2 linked regions of the Caenorhabditis elegans genome follow. The protein of the gene in region 1 purifies or fractionates together with the protein of each later gene. This does not show direct contact. Each region holds a gene or a part of one and is shown in the gene's direction. Other genes may lie near its edges.

Region 1 (3,574 bases):
CAGTTTCAGAAAAATGAAGGTGAAGAAAAACTGGGCGAAGCTTGTGGCGATGAGCTTAATGTCCAATACAAAAAATAGTACATTATGAGCCGCCGAGAGCACAAATGCCGATGCAAGTTCAAGGAGAAAGTAGTAACCAGCTTCTGACTGTAAATTATTTTATTTTTTGAAGCAAAATAGTGAGTTATTTTTTTGGATTAAAAATCTTGTTTTTAAATCGAAAATCAATACAATTAAAAAAAATCAAACCTTTGAAACCTCCTTTTTCTCAGCTGACATTTTGGTAGCAAACTCAGTGAAATCTATGTGGAATACTGCAGGGATATGTTCGTTTCGTTTCACAGAGAAGAGGCGCATCGAACAATTTGGGGCATCTTGATGAGATTTTATCGAATTCTCGGAGGTGTGTAGTAGGTTTTATGGATTTCAGAGTGGATTTCAGAGTGAAGTCATTGAACTTTCTGGGAAACATCTGGGAAACAATATCCGACAAAAGCTCAAAAACGCATAGAAGATTTAGTTTTAATTTGATTGATCCCAATTAGTTCACTTTATGTATTTTTTCACACAGAAAAATACAATTTTCGCTCATTTTTTTGTGAAAAAAATACAAATTTCTATTCAATAATCATATTGTTCAATATATGTTCTATATATGTTCTATAATTTTTCCTTTCGCCAGCTCACTTTCCAGAGAAGCTCTCGATCCGCCCTCGATCCGCCCCTAAACCTGCCCAGCGGAGTAGCATATGAGACTTATGCCGTTTGATGAACCATGTTTAGAAACGGTTATCCGTAAACTTTTAGCTGCAAGTCTCCATAATCAAGCTCACGACATGCTCTTAAAGACATCTAAAACAACACTGTAACGTAGCACTTAGGGATCAATATTCACTTCGGAAACTCATGTCTCCGCGGATTTTGATGGAAAAGTTATCAACTTTACACGTTTGGAGTTGAAAGTTTTTTATCAAAAAAATCTTTGTTTGAGATTAAAGCATGTGAAGTGCGGTAAATGTTATTGTTAAATATGTTAATGCTGTTGATGCAATTTTTATGCTTATATCTGGAAAATTTTGAAAATTGACCCATTACAAAGGAAGTAGATGAAATTAATCTCAGACTTTGACATGACATGGTATTTTTCCGATCAAATAGTATTATCCATACCAAAATCAGAGATTGAGTTCGTCTACTTCCCTTGTTAGTGTTTGCAGTTACATTGTTGTTTTCGCTTTCTTTGAGCGTACGCCGTGAACTTGGTTCTGAAGATTCGCCGCTAAAAATTTTCAAATCACCGTTTCTAAACATGGTCTATCGACTGACATAAGTCTCTTATGCTATTCCTCTGAGCACCTTCACATGTTCCCCTCGTCAGTGGTGTACAAACGCGCTCCACTGCTAATGCATTTGATTCTCAGCGCGCGCAACCAAATTTGTTTTTCGCGCGCTCTCCTCCTAATTTAGGCCTTTTTTCTTGGCAGTGTATCGATTTTGTTCGTTCGTTGAGCGTTGCGCGTTCATTGTCATTATAGAATCGTATATAAAGCGAATAGAATCAGTCTATTCGCTTGGAATTTTTAACATAGCCTTCCAAAATTTGCTGCACCATCGTTTCATTGATTTTATCCGTGTTTCTTGAGTCATTCGTGCGTGATGTAAGAAACTGGACTCTAAATGGACTAAGCATTTTTATACTGATTGTGACCGTCTAAATAGCTTTTTTTATTCGACTTGTTTCCAATTCGGAAAGAAACTCCATTTTCTGTTCGATTTTTTAATTTTCTCTCTTGTCTCTTACATCTCAACTTTATTTTAATGCCTCTACCTTCAGACTACATCCTCAATCATGCCGTCTATGGCCGAAATCTACGTCAAAGAGCTCAGAGAGAGGGATCCAGCTACTGTCGATACTCTATTCCTCGACAACGCTGAAGATGGACAAATCGGAGGACTCACCGACCAGCTTATCAACTTGGAGATGCTCAGCATGGTGAAGTGCGGACTCACCACACTCGCCGGGTTCCCAACTCTTCCAGCTCTTACCTATTTGGATATCAGTGACAATCAGCTTGGAGACAACGCTTCGTTTGATGTTCTTGTGAAAAATGCTCCAGATCTTAAGAAGATCACACTCGCCAGCAACAAGCTCTCTTTGGATAATCTCCGGTGCTTAAAGGTTCTTCCAAATCTTTTCGAGCTCGACTTGTCGAATAATCCAAGTCTCGGACTCCTCGAGGACTATCGTGAGAAGATGTTCGAGATGATTCCATCGCTGAAGATTCTTGATGGATGCGATGTTGATGGAGAGGAAGTTGAGGAGGAGTTTGCCGGTGAGGGAGGAGAAGACAGCGAGGAGGGAAGCGGCGATGAAGATGGACCCGGACTCAGCTATCTCGAGAAGAGCCAGTTCTCCGACGACGAGACTGACGATTATGCTCCAGAGGTTAGTTTTCGGACTCATATTTCAGAAACGTATGTTCTTAATTTCAATTTTTCAGGGAGGAGACGCTGAACCACGTGGGACAAAACGTGGAGCTTCTGATAACGGAGAAGAGCCAGACAACAAGAAGGCAGCTGGCGACGACGAGTAAACTTCGACGCCTACGGACTCATCATCTCAACCTAATATATTTATTTCAAATATTTTTTCCAAAAAAACTTCCCTCATTTTCTTTATGGCTGCGCTGTACACTAAACCCCAACTTTAATGATCTGAAAAACTGAACCCAAACCACCAGACACTGCAACAACTTTTTGATGAATAAAAAATCTTTAACATTAATCTATCGTTTTATTTTCTTTTGTGGCTTTTGTGTGCATTCTATACCATATTATATTACTGAAACACTGAATTCTGAGAATGCGTATTGCGCAACATATGTATATCTTGCAGCGAAAACTACAGTAATTCTTTAAATAACTACTGTAGCGCTGATCAGATTTTACGTTGTTTATTTTCTAATTTTTTGATGAAAACTATAAAAAAGGCATCGAATTGACAAAAAACACGAAAAATTAGAGGAAAATTAAACATCGCCTGCCACAATCCTAAAAACAATTTGTTTCGAAAGTATCAGCTACAGTAGTCATTTAAAGAATTATTGTAGTTTTCACTACGAGATATTTTACGCGTCATATATGTTGCGCAATACGCTATTAATACGGATTCTCAGAATTTATTGTTCCCGTAATAGTTCTGCCTGTGTGTAGCGCAAACTTCAAAAGTCAATAAACTCGAAATTTGAAAAATTGCCAAAAACGAGACTCCGAAATAACGGGCGCGCGTGTTGTTTAGCGCTTTCAGTCCACATTACTTTTCCCCCACATTTCTCCCAATTTGTTAGGTTTTGCTCATATTTTCCCACATTCGAAGTATTGAGAGTTTATTTTTCCATAAAAGAACCGATTTTCTTCCTAAATCCAGCTGTGCGGTCATTTTTCACGTAGGCATATTTTTTCTCACAATTTTAAGGATTTCTGCGTTCTTTATCAAATGAAAGGTCCCATTTCTTCCAATTTTTAGGTTTTCTGGTTCTCTGCGTTCCATCTTTGAATGAATCTTCGATTGTAT
Region 2 (4,821 bases), on another chromosome or scaffold:
AAAACGGATGTAATATTATTAAGAAGTCCAGTGATGTCTAATTTGACAATTGGCTCTCCTTTTTCATCAGTTTGAACTTCATAAGTAACATCCTTCGTCTGAGGAACACATATTTTATGATCTGAATTCACCGGAGAACTTGGGTCGGATGGTGGCTCGTGAGCATCGATTTTCATTTTAGGAGATGGTTTCTTGTTGTAATGAACAGCTGCATCATAATTATATTTGACATCTGGAAAATATTTTAGTTTTTGAAATGTGAAGAACCTGTACTTTCAGGTGTCATTCCATTTGAGAGACACTTTTGGTAACGGCAATATCTGCAGTTAAATCTATCTTCGTTGTTTGTTGTACATTTTTCATTTTTCTGACGGCATGTATACTTCTTTCCAAGTACGGTTGTTCTTCTGAAATATAGGTTAATACTGAAATTTTGATTATACGGATTTTTCATATTTAAATTCCAATTCTATATTTAAAACAAACCGAAAAAATGCTGCACATGCTCGACAAGAAGCAACCCCAAAATGAACACCATGAGCTGGTTCACAACAAATTTTGCATGTCAAAGTAGAAGAAGTGGGCTCTTGGAGCATATTAAATCGAATAAAAAAGAGGTCAGTGAGAGACTAACAGACTATGTGTCTTGTGCTCTTTCTTCAATTGATATGACGATTGTCCCAATTTTGATAAGATACCATGACATGCTCCTTTGATCAATATTGTGATCGGTGTGACAGAGCAAAGAAATCGAATGTTTGTCTTGTGAGATGGGTCAATGTGTTTTCTGTAAATACATTTAAAAGTTCGAAAAGTCGGAGACAAGTGGAACTTGGCAGACGACAGTTTACCCAAAAAAAAATTGGTTCGAATATGAAATATTTGAATCTAACCTTCGTATGTAAAAATGTAGATGACGATTTTTCTCTGGTGTCCCAAAATAATTGCTATTGTTGAATAGGTGCATATGAAATAACTTTTTTTAATTGGAATACTGGTAATTTAATTTTCTAGTGTTATGCCAAATGCAAAGCTTGCGCCAGGTCTTTCTCAGAAAGTGCATCCTTTGTATAACAGAACCCTTCTGCAGAATACAATTTTTCATAATTATTAAATTATTTTTCGCATTCGCGAGCTGGAAAGTTTTCATCAACTCAAATTAATCATTACATGTAATCCGCTAAACTCATTGTATTGTATACAGTATCTAGATATATCTGTATACAGTATTGAATTTAGTAGTTACTGTGTGCAAAACAGTTCATTTGCACGTGAGCGTACGCCAACTCACAGAAAAACCTACTCCTAATTAAAATTAATTTTTTTTATTAATTAAAATTTTAATTTAATTTTTTTTGATATTCTTCGCGTACTTTTTGTAGAAACATTCATAATTATAAAGCCCCACGTTTGAATAAATTGTTCAAATGTTTTATTAATTTTAATTTTTCAATTATTGCCTCTGAACATAACAGAAAACATTTAAATTATCAAATTTAAGCGAATAAATGTTTAATTTAAAAAAAAAACACACGTATGTAATGTTCACAATGTTTAGTATTTCAAAAACTTTCAAAATATTGCTATTTATTTCAAGTAATAACTGACAGCACTTGAACATTTCGAAACATTTCCAAATTTTGTCTCCACCCATCAGTTTCCCTATAAAAATCGTTTGCTTTCCTTTCACTCGTTTTCTCTGACTTCCTCATACTCTCTGTCGTATCTCAAATACGTTCTCGTTTACATTTTCAACTCCATTCTTTCCCACAAACATTCCTTTTCAGTGAATTTTTGATTTTCGTTGCCAAGTTATTCCGCTCTCATGTTAGCAATTTTTGAAACTCTCAACGCCTTTCTCGTCTTCTTCGAAAACATTTCGTAATATTGTTTATTTCAGAACCAATCATGGCTGATGAGTTGAATGAATTCCAAGAGGCTGGAAATTTTAACGAGGAGGCATTGATGAGACTCTCTAAGTAAGTTTTCATCAAAATGAAACGCTATAGAAACGTTTTTTTCCAGCGTCTGCGCCCGACTTCGCCGTATGCAAATGCTGGAATCTGATGTTGAGATTACTGTTGTCGATGGTGAACTCAAGAGAGTTCCTCGTCAAATGGAGAAAGTCAAGGATGGTCAAGTGGAGAATAACGCCGGAGGATTCGTTTTTCCTGTATCTGATGAAACTCAAGTTCGTCGCTTCTTGATCCTCGGTTCTGACAAAGGAAGCTATCATCAGTCGTCTGAAAAGATCACTATAGACAACGCTCAAAGAATCATCAAAATTATTGAGCAGGGTAACGGACATATGGTTTTGAAAGAGCTGGCATTGATCAATGCTGAAAACCGTAATCCAAAGATGAACGCAATGATCTTCACATTGGCAATTTGTGCTCGAATCTCTACTCATGACACAACGAAGAAAACTGAATGTCCAATGCTCAATGCCTACTCAGATTATATCCGAGCTCTTCATGATTCAGCGCTCGATCTTATTCCGGAGGTTTGCCGTACACCAACCCATCTCTTCGAATTCGTTGATTATTGTCAAACAATCTCTGAAAGTACTAAAGCAGGAGGTGCTAAATCTTCAACTGGATGGGGTCGTTCAATGAGAAACGCCATCAGCAAATGGTATACCACAAAGACAACTGAAAAGTTGGCAATGTTGCTCACAAAATACCCACAACGTGAGGGATGGTCTCATCGCGATCTTTTCCGACTTGCTCATCCCAATCTTATGGATAGCCGTTCTCATGGCCAAAGCGAAGATCGTCTTGAAAGAGAGCAATTGTTCCGATTTGCGGTCAAGGGAGATTTAGTGAAAAGAAAGAGAAAGATGTCTGTCGAGGAAGTTGCTGAAGTTGAGAAGGTCTGGGATAAGAAAGCGTTGAAGCTTCCGTACACCGAGGAACAATTAATTAAGGAAGAACAGAGCAGGTCCGATTTTTGACCATTCTCGGTTTTAATTTTATTCTTGAGTATATAGTTATAATTTATTTTTCAATTAAAAATTAATATCAAAGAAACATTTTCAGAGCTCTCAACCTCGTGGAAGCGTACCTCAAGCTCAAAAACGAACAAAGCGAGGAAGTCATCGTAGCAGCTATCAAGAAACATGGACTTGTCCGTGAGCATCTGCCAACTACAAGTCTCAATTCAAAACTTGTATGGGAAACACTTTTCGATGTTTCAATGCCAATGACTGCTATGATTAGAAATCTTGCAAAAATGACCGTTGTGGGCGCCCTTGATGAGAAGAGAGTTGACAATATCGTGAAACGTCTCACTGATCAAGAGGAGCTGCGTCGTTCTCGAATTCATCCAATAAATCTTCTGACTGCCCGTGCTGTCTATGCTCAAGGTCGTGGTGACAAGGGAAGTCTCACTTGGGAGCCAAATCAAAAGATTTGTGACGCCCTTGAAGCTGGCTTCTACAAGGCATTCGTGAATGCACCACCAACTGGAAAACGATACTGCTTGGCTCTCGATGTTTCTGGTAGCATGACCTCTCGTGTCAGTTCGTCACCACTCTCATGCCGTGAAGCTGCTACCGGAATGTCTTTGATCAACCTTCACAATGAAGCCGAAGTTAGATGTGTCGCCTTCTGTGATAAGCTCACTGAGCTTCCGTTTACTAAGGATTGGAAGATCGGACAAGTTAATGACTACGTTAACAACCTTGATGTAAGTTTCATAATGATTTTAATATTGAATTTAATATTAAATTATTGAATTTTCAGTTCGGCAGAACAGATTGTGGCCTTCCAATGACTTGGGCAACAGAAAATAATCTCAAGTTTGATGTCTTCATTATCTACACCGACAACGATACCTGGGCTGGAGAGATTCATCCATTCGAAGCCATCAAAAAGTATCGTGAAGCTTCTGGTATTCATGACGCGAAGGTCATTGTGATGGCAATGCAGGCATATGACTACTCGATTGCCGATCCATCTGATGCTGGTATGCTCGACATTACCGGATTCGATTCGGCTGTACCACAGATTGTTCACGAGTTTGTTACTGGAAAGATCTAATTTATAGTACTGATCTGTTATTTATTTCGCATGTTTCTTTGTTCATATTTTGTCATTCCATAATAAAAATACGAGGATAAAATTCTTTCATTTGGATTGTTGGATATGATATAGGAACATAGTACATCCACGAATGATGGCGCTATTTGGTTTTCACAACCGTAGCTTGTGAGTAATATTACAAAACGATGATGGAATTTTGAAATGGAAAGAACTACGGTCTCAGGTGAATAAAAAGGATAGTATACAAAGGGAAGGAGGCAGAACAGGAAGAGATGAAAACAAAGAGATTTCTCATTTTAATTCGATATTTACTGAGAATAGATCAAAATATAGTCACTGTAACGACTAAATATTTGTTTAAAAAAGGATATCTGAATGTCAGACAAAGGGGTCAGTTTTCTACAGTCTGCAAAACAGGCTAAAATCGCAATTAATTAAATTCAAGCCATTGTGGTGTCAAATTATCCCATATCATAATCTTCGTTGTCTTCACTTGCTTCATGAATTCGATTGATACTTCCCATAACATTGTGGAATGAGAATTGTGTGAAGTTTGATTGCATTTCTTCTTGCTCATCGACTGTAGCAAGGGCTCCGCTTCTACTAGGCGGTGTCAGTTGAACTGGTTGAGATGTGAATTCCTAAAATAAAATCTTTGTTTCTAGTGAAAAAATTTAAAATGTATTAGTCAACTCACATTATCAAAGTAACTAGTATCAGTTTCTGACTGCACATTTGGCTTATATGGTGGCTCGATTTCTTTTCTGTACGTTGCTTC

What was found.
Region 2: the proteins of F33H2.3 (region 1) and rop-1 fractionate together in Caenorhabditis elegans (co-fractionation; one large-scale study listed by BioGRID). This does not show direct contact.

The regions. Positions count from the first base shown.
Region 1 is NC_003279.8:15,032,683-15,036,256, forward strand, and holds F33H2.3 (Acidic leucine-rich nuclear phosphoprotein 32-related protein 1), read left to right. Parts: upstream 1-1,832; 5' UTR 1,833-1,849; coding exon 1,850-2,446; intron 2,447-2,501; coding exon 2,502-2,594; 3' UTR 2,595-2,785; downstream 2,786-3,574. Other genes in the region: F33H2.8 (TPT domain-containing protein), read right to left, coding at 1-147, 250-357.
Region 2 is NC_003283.11:10,252,135-10,256,955, reverse strand, and holds rop-1 (RNA-binding protein RO60), read left to right. Parts: upstream 1-1,900; 5' UTR 1,901-1,908; coding exon 1,909-1,979; intron 1,980-2,025; coding exon 2,026-2,940; intron 2,941-3,038; coding exon 3,039-3,687; intron 3,688-3,743; coding exon 3,744-4,040; 3' UTR 4,041-4,118; downstream 4,119-4,821. Other genes in the region: nhr-232 (Nuclear Hormone Receptor family), read right to left, coding at 1-232, 274-407, 487-596; Serine/threonine-protein kinase akt-1, read right to left, coding at 4,505-4,684, 4,741-4,821. UniProt on the Caenorhabditis elegans protein: RNA-binding protein that binds to misfolded non-coding RNAs, pre-5S rRNA, and several small cytoplasmic RNA molecules known as Y RNAs.